Linked DNA regions of Lonchura striata. The protein of the gene in region 1 interacts with the protein of each later gene in a pairwise test. Links are inferred from orthologs where the notes say so. Each region holds a gene or a part of one and is shown in the gene's direction. Other genes may lie near its edges.

What was found.
Region 2: the proteins of TLE5 (region 1) and MFAP1 interact in binary tests that used the Homo sapiens proteins (3 or more experiments, as listed by UniProt). The two-hybrid records come from large-scale screens. The link is inferred for Lonchura striata from reciprocal best matches to the Homo sapiens genes TLE5 and MFAP1.

What each region holds. Positions count from the first base shown.
Region 1 is NC_134630.1:4,158,048-4,165,988, forward strand, and holds the start of TLE5 (TLE family member 5), read left to right. Parts: upstream 1-4,653; 5' UTR 4,654-4,746; coding exon 4,747-4,773; intron 4,774-5,032; coding exon 5,033-5,130; intron 5,131-6,587; coding exon 6,588-6,651; intron 6,652-7,941. UniProt on the Homo sapiens protein: Transcriptional corepressor. Acts as a dominant repressor towards other family members. Inhibits NF-kappa-B-regulated gene expression. May be required for the initiation and maintenance of the differentiated state.
Region 2 is NC_134613.1:24,429,615-24,438,019, forward strand, and holds the start of MFAP1 (microfibrillar-associated protein 1), read left to right. Parts: upstream 1-5,128; 5' UTR 5,129-5,280; coding exon 5,281-5,359; intron 5,360-5,458; coding exon 5,459-5,678; intron 5,679-6,394; coding exon 6,395-6,527; intron 6,528-6,827; coding exon 6,828-7,015; intron 7,016-7,442; coding exon 7,443-7,551; intron 7,552-7,621; coding exon 7,622-7,782; intron 7,783-8,012; coding exon 8,013-8,172; intron 8,173-8,405. UniProt on the Homo sapiens protein: Involved in pre-mRNA splicing as a component of the spliceosome.

The sequences.
Region 1 (7,941 bases):
TCCCCTGGACCTCCTGACTGTCTCACAGCTCCAAATTTCCTGCTTATCTCCCACCAAATGCCTCAGGGACACCACCCAGGGAGCAAGCAGCTTCAGGCATCCTTGCCATGTGCTTCCTAATCACGGCTCAGCTGCAAAATCCCTTTCCTGCTTCCTGCAAGGAGTGTGAACTGCTCCTTGCACTTTGGCTGGTAAAAAGGATGATAATTACCCCTAATCAGTCTGCAGCAAAAACACAGGCCACAGCAGAAGGGAGGGGTGGGGGGCAGTCACCACGAGGGATGGAGCCCAATTATTCCAAGTCACTGATAAAACGGGATCAAAGAGGGTAGGAATGTTTTACCAGCTGGAAAAAGCCTGCCTGGACCAAGGCTGCTCTTGGAGAAAGGTCCTTTCTGCCTACAGGCCATTCCTGTCTGGGACCTTATGCACATCCAGGGGCAATTTCTCATTTTTCTTCTTGGTGTAGGCGAGGAATTTGGGCTGCTGTACATTTCTGCCTCTGAGAGCAAGCAGCAAGACAGTTTCAGCTGGAAATGAGCGTGGAACCATGGGCACAGAGTGCAGAACAAGCACTCTTGAGGTGCTGGAACTGCTGCATCCCATCGGGGCACCTGGGTGTCCCAGGGGCTGCAGCAGTTGGGGTTGGGTGGTGATGGAAGAATTTGTGCCCTGCCAATGCCATGTTTCTGGGGAGGAGTGCTGCACTTCTGGCTCCCTGGGAGCCTGTGCAGCCCCACTGCTCATTCCAACCTTTTGCTGCAGCAGGGAGACCTGCACAGCTCCTAACAGCAGCAGGAGAGTTGGGAGGTGGTGAAGGAGAGAAGGAAAACAGCCCCTTCTGTGAAAGAGGGACTTGAGAGGCAGGTCGTGTGTAAATCACTGCTTGGCCTGCCCAGCCCTTGCCTGGTGTCTGGCTGATGGTGTTATGCTATCTGGAGAAAGTTTAATATCAAAAGCCAATAATCTCTGTGATAGGAGGGATGATAAGGGGCAGTCTGGCCTGGATGTGGCAGAGGGCCAAGGTCCGGTGCCTGACCTCCACCACCAGTCCTGGCCTCCCCATCCCATCCCAGGTGGCCCAGACCTGACAGAGCTGTCAGTGTGGCAGCAGGGCTGGGCAAAACAAAAAAAAAACCCAAAAAAAACCCCCAGGAACCAGCCCTGCTGCTGGCAAAGAGGGGCTGGGGAAGCAGGGAGGCAGGAAGGGGAGAACTCAGTGAGCCCCAGCAGAGTGGCATGGGGCTGGCTGTGGCTAATAGCCAACAAGCTGCCAGCACTGGCCCTTACAGAACGCCTCACAGCTGTCTGAATACAGGGCAGCAGCGGGGGATTGCAGCCCAGGAAGGGCCTGGGGTTTCTTGGCAGGTGGGGTATCAAGGGCAGCTGAAGTTGAATGAGTTTGGTGGGTCTCAGCCCTGTTTCTACTGGAAGGAGGCCACAGGGTTGAAAGCACAAGTGAGGAGCTGGCTGAGCCACCCCACACCCAGTGAGGTCCTGTCCCTGCCACTCCAGAGCTGTGCCCCAAATTGCTCAGACTCCTGCAAAGCACCTGTGGGTGTGGGCAGCTTGAGGTGATGGCACTCAAAAGAGACCCTGAGGCTGTGCAAAAATGGAAAAAACCTTCCTTGTCTCAGTGCCTGAATTGCTGCTGTGCCTTCTTTATTTCTTCCTCTTTAATCCAGGGAAAAGAGAGAGTATTCTCAGGGTAAAAGCAGGATCTCAGGGCCTTCATTTTCATAATGATGACAGCATGGCTTTCACCTTGTGTCCAGAGCTTCAGAGCAGAAAATGTCTGTACAACCTCTCTCCTTGAACCAGTGCTGGAGTGGGATATAATATCTGAATAATTTACAAAGGCTCTTCATTACACAGATTTATTTTTGGCAGCTTTGTTAGACTGCTCCTTTTAGGAACTAATAGGAAGTTTCTCTAGGTTTCATTAGGACATCCCTGTATGAATTGTTCCAGTGGGGCCAGAGACTGGGACAGTTTCTTGCGCCATTAGAAATACAAAATGCTTCTGCCCTCTCTGTCCCTCATGGCTTTCTGGAAACCCACCTGCATGCCCAACCCCGAGCCAGTCCTGGTTGTAGCAAGAATCCAGCATGTTTTTATTCCTGGCCAAGATGTTGAGGGAGTGGGGGGCTTCCCCACATTACCTTCAAACAGCTTTGCAGCAGACAAAAATATTGGTTCACTTGGAGAGCTCCTACACAGAACTCCCTTTCCTGTGCTGGAAAAACCTTCATTTCTCAAGCTGGGTCTGAGGTGGGCTGTGGGAACCCCCACTGCTCACCAGGCTGTGTTTGGGGCCACCTCCTCTGCTCCCAGACCATACCCAGCCCCTGACTCAGCCTGGGCCAGGCTAAAATCCCCTCTTCTTCAGATGCAGGTGCATTGCCTGGCTGGAAACGAGCCCATTAAAAAGTCATTTACCAGGCACAAGTGAGTTTGTGTTCCCCTGGACTGGGATTTGCCAAGATTATACCATAAATTAGAGTGTTTCCTGGAAGAATGTAAGGAGAGAGGGAAAAAAAAAAAAAAAAAGATAAAATGGAACATTTTGTAGCCAACAGAAATGCCAATAAAGGAGCATTTCATTTCCCACTTGGAAGGGAGTGACTGCAAGCTGTTGCGAGTGTAGGGCAGGGTGCCTGTGCTGCTCCAGGACCAGGGGAAGGGGACAACAGGGACCTGGTGTGGCTGCACGCACACACTGACCATAAACTGCATTTCTCTGCCCTTGAGCACAGCTCAAGCTGGGGTGACTCAGTTTCTCTCCACGTAAAAAGGGGGACCAGGATGCCAACCCCACTGGGGGCAGACTGTCTGCCCTGTTTTCCAACCCTTATTCTGCAGGGACACGAAGCCTGCCTGCACTATTAATAATCCTTGGCATGAAGCTGTCACAGTTTCCACTAATATGGAGATGTTGAAGTGAAAAAGCTACTGCACAATATGCAGGAGGTGTCACAATAACTCATCTGCTATATTGTTCTTTTTAAAAATAAATACCACAACAGGCCAGCCCACATTGCTGGAGTCATGACATGTCGGGTTTTATTTTTAATCAGAAAATGTACTGATTTTTAAAGATAGACATGGAGCAACATCCAAAATTTATTAAAGCTCTCTGTGTGCTCACATGTACCGTGTTCCTGCCTGCTATTCTCCGAATGGCTTCCAAGGACTTGATCCTGCCTCAGCACGGGCACATTTGTGTGTGCAGCTTTGCAAGAGGCCCCATGGCAACAAAGTCCTTCCAGAAATAAAGTCTGTGGCTGAATTCCCCACCCCACTGCTCTCTGGGGGGATGCAATCGATCCTGCAGGACACCAACTGCAGGGTCTCCTCTTCAGGCAGCAGGTTTAGGACCAAAGTTTGCATCCAGAGCAGAACACATCCCATTGCTTGGAGATCAGAGCTTTCTCTGGTGGCCAGTTGTAGGTGAACTACCTTTTTCCTTTCCCTTCCCTCAGGCTCAGCCAAGGGCAACACTGAAATAAAGCAAAACGAAACTCTGGGTTAAAAAAAAAATAAATAAAAATAGCCTGTTCTGCTTGGGGAAGGGCGTGAAAATGAGCTGCGAAGGGCGAGGAGCTTCACTGCCCACCAAGGGCCGCTCCGGGGCTCCGGACCCTGGGCCGGGCCGGGGGCTCGGCGGGGCCGGGGCACGGGCAGGGACTCCCGGTGAGTCCGGGCACGGGCAGGGACTCTCGGTGGGCCGGGGCACGGGCAGGGACTCCCGGTGGGGCCGGGGCACGGGCAGGGACTCTCGGTGGGCCGGGGGCACGGGCAGGGACTCTCGGTGGGTCGGGGCACGGGCAGGGACTCCCGGCGGGGCCGGGGCACGGGCAGGGACTCCCGGTGGGGCCGGGGCACGGGCAGGGACTCTCGGTGGGCCGGGGCACGGGCAGGGACTCCCGGTGGGCTGGGGGCACGGGCAGGGACTCTCGGTGGGCCGGGGGCACGGGCAGGGACTCCCGGTGGGTCCGGGGGCACGGGCAGGGACTCTCGGCGGGCCGGGGCACGGGCAGGGACTCCCGGTGGGGCCGGGGCACGGGCAGGGACTCTCGGTGGGTCGGGGGCACGGGCAGGGACTCCCGGTGGGTCGGGGCACGGGCAGGGACTCCCGGTGGGTCGGGGCACGGGCAGGGACTCCCGGCGGGGCCGGGGCACGGGCAGGGACTCCCGGTGGGGCCGGGGCACGGGCAGGGACTCTCGGTGGGCCGGGACACGGGCAGGGACTCCCGGCGGGGCCGGGGCACGGGCAGGGACTCTCGGTGGGCCGCGGCACCGGGGGGCTGCGGGGAGGGCCGGGCAGCCCGGCCGGCGGGGCAAGGCCCGTCCCGAGCGCGGGGAGGGCACCGAGCATCCCCCGGGCCCCGCCGAGGGAGCGCGGCACCGAGGGCGGCACCGAGCGCGGCCCGGCCCGGCCCGGCCCGGCGGCGCCGCGCGGCGGGGGCGGGGACCGGCGGGGGCGGGCGCGGCCGTGGGCCCGCCCGGGCCGGGGAGGCGGCGGCGGCGGCAGGTGGTGCCGAGCAGCCGCAGGACGGAGCCGGAGCCGCAGCCGCCATTAGACAATAGGCGCCGGCGGCGGGAGCGGCGCGGGGCGAGCGGCGCGGCCGGGGCGGGGCGGCCGCGGGGCCGGGGCGGCCGGACCCGGCGCGGACAAAGGCGGCGGCGGCGCGGGCAGCCGGTGGCAGCGGGCCGCTCCGTGCGGGGACCGAGCCGCAACCTGACATGATGTTTCCACAAAGCCGGCACTCGGTACGGCGCGGCCCGGGGCCGGAGCGGCCGCGGGGCGGGGCCGGGCGCCGGCGGGGCCGCGGGGGCTGCCCGGCCTCCCCCGGCCCCGCGGGGGCGAGGGGATCGAGCGCCTCCCGGTGCCGCGGGGCGGCTCCCGGGCGAGGGGCCCCCGGTGACCTTGGGCGCTGCCCCCGGCGGGGCTCGGGCCCCGGGGCGGGCTCGGGGCGGGCGGGCCCGGCGGGCGCCGGCTCCGGCCCAGCGCTGTCTCCTGTTGTTCAAGGGCTCCTCTCACCTGCCTCAGCAGCTGAAGTTCACGACCTCCGACTCGTGCGACCGCATCAAGGACGAGTTCCAGCTGCTGCAGGCCCAGTACCACAGGTACGTGCTGCCCCCGCGCCCGGGGCTGTCCCGGCCGGGGCGCGGGGATCGCTCCGGTCCTTCTGCTCCTTGCGTGGCTCCCGGGGCCGGACGAGAATTTGGGGAAGGGGAGCCGCTCGCGGAGCTTGGGACGCCTTTGGCTGGAGGAGCGCCTCGGGCACGGCGCTGGTCGCGTCCACATGGGAGCCCAGCGAGGAGAACGCCCATTCCCTTCTCCAGCCAAGGTCTTTCCTCCAAGTGCTGCTCAGCCAGGACTGCACAGGCACTTGCCAGCCCTCCTGCCTTTTGCTGGGAGTTTTCCTCAATTTTTCTCGCTGGCTGCCATTCCTGGACTGCAAATGCTGCAGGGAGCACTTAAATCCAAATGCTTTTACTTTTCTGTGAATGTGTGTGGAAATAGTGCTGCTAACCCAAAAGCTGGCTTGAGACAATCTGTTGCTTTGCGTGTGTGTGTGTGCGTGTTTATGTCTGACATAAACATGAAGCCCTTCGGTTTATATTGTCTGGGCAATGCCCTCTGCCACAGCCTGGCACTGGTTTTGGTGTGTGCATTGGTGCCATGTGGCTGCAATGTCCCCCAGCCCGGGCTCTGCCTGCGGGCAGGTTACAAGTTTGTGGTGGTGTCATTTTGGCAGGAGCAGGCAGAAAAGCTGCTGGGAAGTGGCCATTTCCTGGTGTCTCTGTGCCTTGGCAGTGCCATCAGGGGAGTAGGGGTTCCTGCTGAAAGGGAAGCTTTTCCCCCATGCCGCTCCACCCCCTTGGACTTAATCTGCTCAAGAAGGAGCAGGTTTTGTGTAGGTGAAGCTGTTTCTTGTTTGAAACATAAAACCACAGCACATTCTGGCTGCAGTTGCTCGGCTGGTGAGTTGGAGTCTCATAAAACACTGGGAGCAGCGGCACTTTCTCTGAAGGGTGTGAAGAATCTAGGAGAGAGGAAAAATCCTTGCTTCTGGAGGGATGTGCTGCACTTGGGCCTCCCCCCCCCAGCCCCCATCCAGAAGTGGGTCTGGCTTTGGTTTTGATGTTGTAGTGGAACATCTTTTGAGTGCTGCAGACAGGTTCTGTGCCAGAATCTGTCCCCAGCTGCCAGCGATCTGTTGAGGAAAGGCAAACCCCTCCCTGGGCAGCCAACTCTGCTTCTCCCCAGCATTCTGCTTCCTGTGGAATGGATTTGCCTGAGGGAGGTCAGTGTTCTGCTGGTGGATAGCCTTGTGTCCTTTTCCTGAATGTGTGCTGGGGAGGGCTCCAGCTGAGAAATTGGGAGCAGGTTCTGTGTGGTCACTACTGTGCCAGCACAGCCTGTCTGAGCTCTGCTCTGGCCACCCCTTGAAGTCCAGATAATGATGTCCAAGAATCCAGCCTGGCCGGGATGAGGCCATGCAGGAAGCAGCTGCTCCGAGGCGATCAACTCTCTCACCTCCTGTTTGTGGTTTTCTTACTGTTTTCTGGCTTTTCAGCTTGAAGTTGGAATGTGACAAACTAGCCAGCGAGAAATCGGAGATGCAGCGTCACTACGTCATGGTAAGGACCGGCCCAGCAGCCCGGAGCAGAGTGTGTGGGTGGCAACACCAGCAGGTGCCTGTGCCTGGGCTCTGCCTGGCAGGGAGCCCACGCCCCGCAGAGCTCCAGGGCTCTCAGCAGGGCTGGAGTTGGCTCTGCTCTCAAAATGGGGCTGTTTTGTGTTGGCTGCATGCAGGGGGTTGTTGAAATGCACGGTGGGAGGGAGTTTTTTGATGTAGAAAATGGTGGGGGATTGCTTGATGGGTCCTTGGCCCAAAGGAAGTGACGGCTCTTACACACCTGAGGAGGTGATACAGGGTGCTGGTGTGCAGGTGTTTGGGGGCTCTGGGAAGGTCACGGCCAGTGAGAGACAAAGCAGTGCTCTGAGAAGTCATGAAACTGGGAAACCCCACAAGCCAGGTGTGAGTTAGAAGCAGAAATCAGCTTCTGTGCCAGGGCTAAACCCTGTGCACCTTGTGGTGACCTCGCAGCCTCGCTTAGCCGTGGTGCTGAGTGCTGGCACGTGTGTCCCAGCACAGGGTGTGCAAGCCCCAGGGCAGTGCTTGGTAAAGGCATGAGAAATGGTGCCAAGTGTGGGCAGCAGGCTTGGCTGTGGCTTTCCAAGAAAACAGCCATGTTCTGGTGAGCAGGGTGAGGGTTTGCCTGCCAGGTAATGCCTCTGGAGCCCTTGCAGCACGGGGAGGGTTGCCAGGCAGGGCTGTGGTCTCTTCCTTTCCTATCATGGAGTTAATGGGAGGCTGCAATACTGTCCATGAAAATGAGCTGGCTCCTGCTTGCCAGCTGCTGCACCTGCCCTGGAAAGAAGAGATAAGATGTAGAAATTAATAGAGCAGCTCTTCAGAGCAGAGTTAAGACTTAAAAAATGAGAAATAAGGGAGCTAGCTGGCCCCTTCATCTTTCTGTACTGCCCTTGTGACCAGACTCTGAGGCTGTGGGGAGCAAGGAGTGCTTGGGGCTGGGGACAAGGAGAAGAGGTCACAGCTTTCCTGGTGTATTAATGGGGAAGCTTGCCCCGTTCTCATTGGTAAACAATTGCTTCCTGTGCCTCGCAGTCTGCATGGAAACCCTCATCTCCAGCAGTGGCCACGATGCATTTTTTTTTTTTTTCCCTTAATGCTGGCAGCCACCAGAATTGATTCAGGTTGCTGTCAGCAGCAGAGGGGAAGGGCTGTTACTCGTGGCGCAGCGCTGGAGGCTCTGCAGGCGCAGCAGCTCCTGCCTTGTCTGCGTGGCTGAGCCGGAGCTGCTGCCGCTCCCCGTCACGGGGAGCCAAGAGGAGGGTTCCTGTCA
Region 2 (8,405 bases), on another chromosome or scaffold:
AACCAGGCTGCGGGAATCGTACTTCCCATGAGGTCCTTATCGTGGGGCTGCAACCCCAGATCGGTGTGCAGCAGCCTGACAAAGAAACTGTCTGGTAAGGAATAACACAAGGAAAAAAATCTATGAGCCCCATGTCAAGAGAGAGACTTCCACCAAGGAGGAAAGGTGAGAAGTGAAATACACAGCTTCAGTCATTTGTAAAGAACAACGTACTGTGGGCACGGTACCGTGTCATTAGCAACACAAATGCAGCAGAACCCACAGTGACCTGAACCCAAACTGACCTGAATCTTCCACATCTGCGATGAGTCTGGCAGCTTGGGGCAGGAGCAGGTCCTAGTGCTCTTTCCAGAGAAAAGGAAGTCACTCAGATACCATGATCAAGATCATGAAGCATTAGCAATCACACAGGAAACAGTCACCTTGGTAACTGAGATGCTGAGAACAGCCCAGAAAATCTAGCACAGGGCAGGCTGCTGTTCTAAACTGGGTTAGTTCTGCAGGGCAGCACCCTGACTGCAGGTATTTGGGCTGGGCCGACCCTGGCATCCAGCCTCAAGTGCTGCACCAGAGACCACCAGCCACAGGGGCTGTGGTGCCCCAGGCCCACCTTAAGGGCCACTGTCCCACCAGGGGGAGAAGGCACCCACCCAACAGGCAGCACTCACCTCAGTGTCACTGCAGCATCCTCAGGAGTCGTCCCTGTAGCTGGCAAGCTCAGACCTACCCTTGGGGACACAGGGACCAGCTGTGCCCCATGGGGTTATATGGAGAATGCATGGACAGAGGCAGGTCGGAGCTGGAGTCCGGACTGGTGGTGGGAGGGAGGATGGGACACAGGCTGCCTGCCCCACCCATGAACCTTACCTCTGGATGCCTCCTTTGGGCGCTGGCAGCCGTGCCAAGGCAGGTGAGGAGCTGCTGCACGCAGCCCTGTGACATGAGGAGCTGACAAAGGGCCCTTGTCACCACGGGCTTATGGCGGTGCTGCGGGGCAGGGCAGGCGGGCAGGAAGCACCACGCTCTTACGCAAACCACTGGCCTGGGACCTGCGCTGACCCCACAGCCCTGCCAAAGAAAACACCAGGGTCGGGAAGCACCTGGCTGCAGGTGGCACATCGCCACAGACCGGGAGGAGACCCGCTGTGCCAGCAGCCCCTGGGCCCAGCTGCAGAAGGAGCAGAGAGAGGCCACCAGCAGGGATCTGAGCGGCTGCCGTGCCCCACTCACCTCACAAGGGCTGCCAGGCACCCCTCTCTGCCCCGAGCCATGATGCAGCGAGGGGTGAAACAGCTACTGCCGCACATCTGCCAGGCACAAACCCTCATCTCAGACTTGGGGACTGTGGCTCAGAGGCACCAGTGCAGCCCAGGAGACAGCAGAAACAGCCGCTCCATGCAGCAGTGCCCAGCAAACTGGCAGCACTACTGCCGGCCCATTGTACTGTCCCATCCTGTGAGGTCTGCCCTGCTAGGATCCCCTGGGGTTCTCACTATGGCCACAGGGGCCAAACTGTTCACTGGGGGTGGGAGAGTCCCCCACACTCCCCTTCTCTGAGCACACTGGTGTGGCTTGGCTGCACACACAATCAACAGAAACCCACTTTCATGGAAAAATCAGGTTCATTTTTAGCTTTCAACCTGCAGAATACAACTGCCCATCTGCCTAAGCTCCCTGGGAAACAGAGCAGCATAGGGCTGCACTCCTGCCTGCAAACATCCCAGCCTGGGGGACCTGGAGGATTGCAGGTGAAAGCAGCTAGTGAGCAAGTAAAGGGCAGAGTGCCCACACAGAGAAACCAGCAGAGAAAACCAAGTAACAGGCAGCAACAGCAGGCAGAAACTTCTGGATGCACCAAATCAATAGCAGAAGGTTTACCCAGCACAGAGCAGCCTGCTCTGCCCCATTGCCAGCAGAGGTGAGCCCACAGTCCCTCTGCTGTGCTGTCCAGCCTTCTCCCTGCACACATCCTTACACTATCCCAAAGCTAAGGCTGCAGTCCCTTTCCCTGGAGTCTCCCCAGTCTGTCCCCTCCACCCTGGATACTACCAGCAGGTCTCTTAGTGCTGAGGGAGCTGGGACTGCCATGCTCCAGGCAGGACCTGTGGTCTACAGGGTCCAGCTGGCTCCAGCAGCTCTACTCATCTCTGACTCCCAGACACAACATCTCACTGTAGGCACATGCAGGGACACAGGCCCAGCCCAAACACCCTGACCTTGTCCTTGCAGTACAGCTGCAGACACAAACAGCAGCTGCTCAAGGTGGGTTCTGTAACTATCTGCCTTAGGCTTTGTCAGCAGCAGTCGTAATGCTCCACAGCCTAGTCTGGCTCTGCCCCTGCTCTGGGCTGCGGGATGTGCCCTTCCATCACCTGTCCTGGACAGCACCCTGTCATCACCTGCTGTACAGGTGCAGGGATTTCCTTGCCCAGCCTAAGTGCATAAGGTGCCTGTGGCACTTGGGGCGTTCCACAGTAGTGTCACGCACAGGAACACACACACACACACGGGCAAGGAACACAAGGCTGGGAGCCCACCTGCAGCCCAGCAGTAGGAATGCCATGTGCCCGTGGGCTTCGGTGGGCTGGGGAGGGGGTGCTCACAAGCAAACCCAGCCCAAAGACCAGCAGGTGTGGCTGGCACAGCACTGAGGGGCAGACTGGCCCATGCTCCAGGCTCACTCATGGAACAGCTGCCAGCCTTCCATGGCTTCACACCACCCCAGGAATGGGGGGCTCAGCCTCACAAAGTGTCTCCCACCCCATTGCTGCCCATCTGCCAACTGCCAAGACTTGGCAGGGCCAAGATGTCAGCAGCCACTGCACTGGGCAAAGGGAACATGGGGCAAAGAGACTTTGCAGTGAAGGGCATCTTCCTGCCATGGCCTCCAGCACCTGCAGCCACAGAACTGAGCCAGGCTTGAAGGTATTTCCCTGTTTGCCCAGGTCTTTAGTTTAGCTTCACTTGAATAGGACAGTATCTGCTTTGTGTGCAATCCTCAAGCTTCCTCTTGGGTACTGTGGCCAACTGTTCCTTCAAGTCCTGTTAAAGCTTATTCCTTGCCATGTGGCACAGGACTTACTAGGTGGGAACACACTGTGACAACATCCAACACTAACAACATAAACACAGAGTGGCTGCTCTGGTTGTCACCTGGGTGCAAAGGCCAGAAGAACACCAACAAGCACACAGATCCACTCTTGCTTGTTCCTGGCAGTCTGTAGGTGCTGTAGGATTATAAAGGCATCGATGCCTCAGTTGCTCAGGCAAACTACCAGCTTCACTGCACCATTTCTGCCTGCAGCAGAAATGGGTCTGTATGGAGGGCACTGCAGGGACACCCTTCCCTGGAACCAGAGCAGGGACTGAGTCAGGATGCCAGGTGCAGCCAGCCAGTGCTTCAAGGGACTGGGCCCACCTGTCCCCGTGCCTGGGGCAGCCACCCCCACCTGCAGCCCAGCCAGATTGTGGTCATCCAACTGGATCTGCCCAGTCCTGGCATCTCTGTAGGCCAAGGAGAGTTTCCCAGGAGAGTCAGCCTCCACCGTGGCCTTGGGACCTCTGCAGCCACTTCTGGGACCAGACTAGGGTACTGCTGCCAAAAATTTGGTCTGCTCTCCCCTAGACTGGCTGCAGGAGATGCTGCCAGAGGGACATCTCCCAGCCAGACCAAGGACACCAAAAGAAAAACACTTCCCTGCACTCCCTTATGGATTGTGCTCCACTGCTGAGCCACCAATTGGAAAAGCACATGTGCCCTGGCCTTTCCTGGCTGCCAGAGCTAGCCTCACCCCACGAGAGTACCTGCTCTGCTACTGCCGGTGAACTGTTGAAGTGTGGCTCGCTCCCCCTGCTTCCTAAATTTCCCTGCCAGCAAGCAGATTTCATGGAAGATAAAAGAGGATTTCCTCTTCCTTTCTTCGTAGAAGCCAGCAGAAGGTAGCAGAAAGTGGCAGACGTGGCTGCAGTGGCTTGTGACGCAGTTTTACCCAACTTAAGAGAAACTGTTATCTTCTGCGGCAGGATGCGTGCACAGGGACATCCCACCCCAGCCACTCGCCCTACACTGTGAAGCCTCACACACCTCGGCTGCTGACACAGGCAGCAGCCAGCTGCTTACGGGAAACCCCCAAGAAGCAGCCGTGGCCCCAGCCTTTCCCCACAGACACTTCACACCCACGCCAGTGGGACCCCCAGGAGCTCCCCCAGCCTTGCCGTGCGGCAGGTGGAGGTGCTGCCCCACCGGCAGCAGCTGCCCTGCTGGCGCTGGCCGAGGGCTCCGGGGGCACGCAAGAGCTATTTGTCCTTGCTGCCAGGGAGCCAGGCAGCAGCGCTGGGGCTTGCTGGAGCTGGCTGGAGCGGGCAGAGCAGGGAGACTGGGGTCATGGCTGGCTGCGGCCGTCGGGAGCAAAGGCGGACGGCCTGCCGTGCCGCACTGCAGGGAGGAACGGCACGGCTTGGGCAGCAGCCACGGCCACCTGGCCTCCAGGGACACCCAGCCCCGCTCTGCCCCGAGCAGCCGCGCTGGCAGCGGGCTCCGCACAGCCCCGCAGCCCCACCGCGCACCAAAGCGAGCAGCAGTTCTCAGGCTGGGCGGGCAGTTCGGCACAGGAATTTGCCAGGCGCAGGCCGTTCCCCAGCTCAGCGAGTTACGGGTAGCCCCGGGCGCTCCGTTCCGGCAGCTGCCGGCTCAGACGCAGCCCGCACGGGACGGCCGGGCCCGCAGAGCCCCGGCGCCGCTTAGACGCGGCCGGAGCGAGCAGCACCCGGGCGAGCCGCACCCGGGCGAGCCGCAGAGCCCCATCGCGGCGCTGCCGGTGCCCCCGCCGTCCTATGGCCGCTCGGCCGCTGCCTCGCCCTCACTCCCCTCCGGGGAGAAACCCGCATCGTGCAGGGGGGAACGGAGCCTCTCCCGGCCGAAGGCGGATGGCGAAACGACCGGGGACCCCCCTGCCAGCCGGCCGCAGGGCCCGGAGCACCCCGCGCCGGGCCGACACGCAGCCACGGCAGACGGCTCCGAGCCCCGGTGCCCGTCCCCGCGGCAGCGACCCCGGGCCCAGCGCCACTTCCGGGCCCCGGCACGGTCCCGGTGGCGGCGGAAGCGGCCGAGGTTCCGGTTCCGGGTGAGCGCTCGAGGCGCCGTTGTCAGCGGCCCCGCTCGGCTCTGCTCCGCTCGGCCCGGCCCGGCTCGGCTCCGCTCCGCTCCCCTCGGCTCCGCTCGGCCCCGCTCCGCTCCGCTCGGCCCCGCTCGGCCCGGCCCGGCCCCCGCCTGCCGCCACCATGTCGGTCCCCAGCGCTCTCATGAAGCAGCCGCCGATCCAGTCCACGGCGGGCGCCGTGCCCGTCCGCAACGAGAAGGGTGAGCTGGGGGCTCGGGGCTCGGCGGGGAGGCCGGGCGGGCGCGGGGCCGGGACGGGGGTGCGGGGCCGAGACCGCCGCTGACGGCCGGCACCCGCAGGCGAGCTGTCCATGGAGAAGGTGAAGGTGAAGCGGTACGTGTCGGGCAAGCGGCCCGACTACGCGCCCATGGAGTCCTCGGAGGAGGAGGACGAGGAGTTCCAATTCATCAAGAAGGCGAAGGAGCAAGAGGTCGAGCCCGAGGAACAGGAGGAGGAACTGGCCAACGACCCCCGGCTCCGGCGCCTCCAGAACCGCATCGCTGAGGATGTGGAGGAGCGGTGAGTGCTGGGTCAACAAGAGCTGAGCCCCCTTTGCCTATCTGGGGCCGGGGGGCTGGGACTCTAGACTGCAAGGAGAAACTCCACAGGGCAGAGCTGGGAACATTATCCAGGCAGTGCTGGAGCGTTTGTGACTTCTCATATCCACTGTGCCTTGGGCTGCTTTCCAGCCAGGAGCCAGCCAGGCACAGTCCATGTCCAGGTGTGTGTGGGTGGATGGTAGGAGAAACAGGCACCAAAACAGAAATTAGAGCAGCGTGCTGAAGCTCGGGGTAGCAAGGAAGGATGGTGTCTCGTGAAATGCACTCTGGGCAGCCCATGGCCTCCCAGCTCAGTTGGTGAGGGTGATGAGAGCCTCCACCACGTTGCCCATGTGCTTGCGCAGATTGCGCTTCACTGCAGCCTGTGATATTTCCGTCTCCATCATCTGCAGAAAAGCACCACTAAGTGCTGTTTGCCTCCCATGGAGCTGCTGTTGGTTTTGTTTCCACTAACAAGGAGTCTTCTCATTTGGAACAGCATTCTTCCTTGAAGCATTGACAGGGAAGAGCTGGCAGTGCCCAGGCACTGTGACCTGGTAGAGAACATATCAATTCTGGCCATGTTTGGCAGTCCCAGTGCTTACTGTGGCCTTGCTAGAAGTGATTTGTGAACAGTCACTTTCCTGCAGCCCCCTTACGTTCCAAGTGCTGTGCATCACCTGGGGTCTCTTGCAGGCTGGCAAGGCACCGCAAAATCGTGGAACCTGAAGTGGTCGGAGAAAGCGATTCAGAAGTGGAGGGGGGAGAAGCTTGGCGCCTGGAACGGGAGGACACCAGTGAAGAGGAGGAGGAAGAGATTGATGATGAGGTGTGTTTGCAGAGCCAGATAATGGGCCTAGGAAAGCTGGAAGGGCACAGGCTGGAACTGCCCTTTGCATGGATATGTGGGCTGTCTGATGTATCTGGACAAGTGTCACACCTAGCCACGACTTAACCATGTAAGTTATCATCCTCTGGCATGGAACAGGACACTGGGGGAGGCCACGCCACGTCCAGACAGGCAGGTGCATCTTCTCAAAGCCAACACTGCAGACGTGACGTGTTTCACAGGAGAGAGAGAAGTGGTAGCAGGGCAGGCCTCTGACTGCTCTGTGCTTGTCCCCGTTAGGAGATTGAGCGTCGGCGTGGGATGATGCGTCAGCGAGCACAGGAGAGGAAAACTGAGGAGATGGAAGTGATGGAATTGGAAGATGAGGGTCGGTCTGGAGAAGAGTCTGAGTCAGAATCCGAGTATGAGGAGTACACGGACAGCGAAGATGAAATGGAGCCACGTCTCAAACCGGTCTTTATTCGCAAGTAGGTGATGGAAGTGTGTAGGCTGGCCCTGGATCGTGGTAGTCAGAAGCTGGGGCCCAAGGAGACCTTGCTGCCATGGTCTCTTCTCACTGTGAGAAGCCATTGACCTCCTTGGGGTGGGATGGGATGGTCACAGCCTGGCAGGGCACAGCTAGGGAGCAAGGAGCAATCCCTGTACCCACAGCCCTGTATCAGTTGCATTGGGTTGCTGTGGCATCAGGCTGTGGAGTCTGACCAGAGCTCTTGGTCAAGGGCCATATAGTGGCAAAAGAACGTGGTAGTACCCAGGAAGGGGAGAGCCCTGGGACTTGACCTATCCCTGGAGAGGGCAAAGGCTGAAAGCAGTTGCAGTGTGGGAGCCAGTGAGAGGCTGAGCGACTGCACTGGCTCGTGGGAGGGCTGAAGGCTGTCATGGCCCTGCTTGCAGGAAGGACCGGATCACAGTCCAGGAGAGAGAAGCAGAAGCTCTGAAGCAGAAGGAGCTGGAGCAGGAGGCAAAGAGGATGGCAGAGGAGAGGCGCAAGTACACGCTTAAGGTACGGAGGGGTGGGCTGGAGGCTGGAGGGGGCAGCCACTGCAGCAAGTTTAGCTTGGGCCTCACTGCAGATTGTAGAAGAGGAAGCAAAGAAGGAGCTGGAGGAGAACAAGCGCTCACTGGCAGCACTGGATGCACTCGATACAGATGATGAGAACGATGAGGAGGAGTATGAGGCCTGGAAAGTCCGTGAGCTGAAGCGTATCAAACGAGACCGCGAAGAACGAGAAGCGTAAGTATTGTCTCTCAGACTAGAGGCTGAGACCCCACCTTTTCCTCAGGCTGCCCTTTGGCAGCAGGGTCCCAGCTGGACTGAATGCCCAGAGTCCCTCCTGCCCACCCTTGGGGTGCCTTTGCTCCCTAGCAGTAAATGTGTAAGCTCTCATGTGTTAGCTGGTGACAGCCTCTCTCCCGGGAGATGCTGTGGGGACACACAGTCTCAGGAGCTTCTCTCCCACCCAGCATGGAGAAGGAGAAGGCAGAGATCGAGCGTATGCGGAACCTGACAGAGGAGGAGCGCCGTGCTGAGCTCCGGGCCAATGGTAAAGTCATCACCAACAAGGCAGTAAAGGGCAAATACAAATTCCTGCAGAAGTACTACCACCGCGGTGCCTTCTTCATGGTGAGTGTGCTTAGGGCCAGGCCTGGCTGCACTGGCTGCAGGTGTGAGACTGCGGGGCCACCTTTTCCCTGTGGGGAGCCTCCCCTCTCCCTGGGTGTCCTCAGGCTGGGGGTGCCTGGGACAAGAGCCAACCTTCAGAGGCAGCATGGGGCTAAAGCTGACCCAGAGTGACCTCACCAGAGCGTGTCAGGTTAGGGGTTCCCAGCTGAAATGGAGCTGAAGCTGCAGAGCTG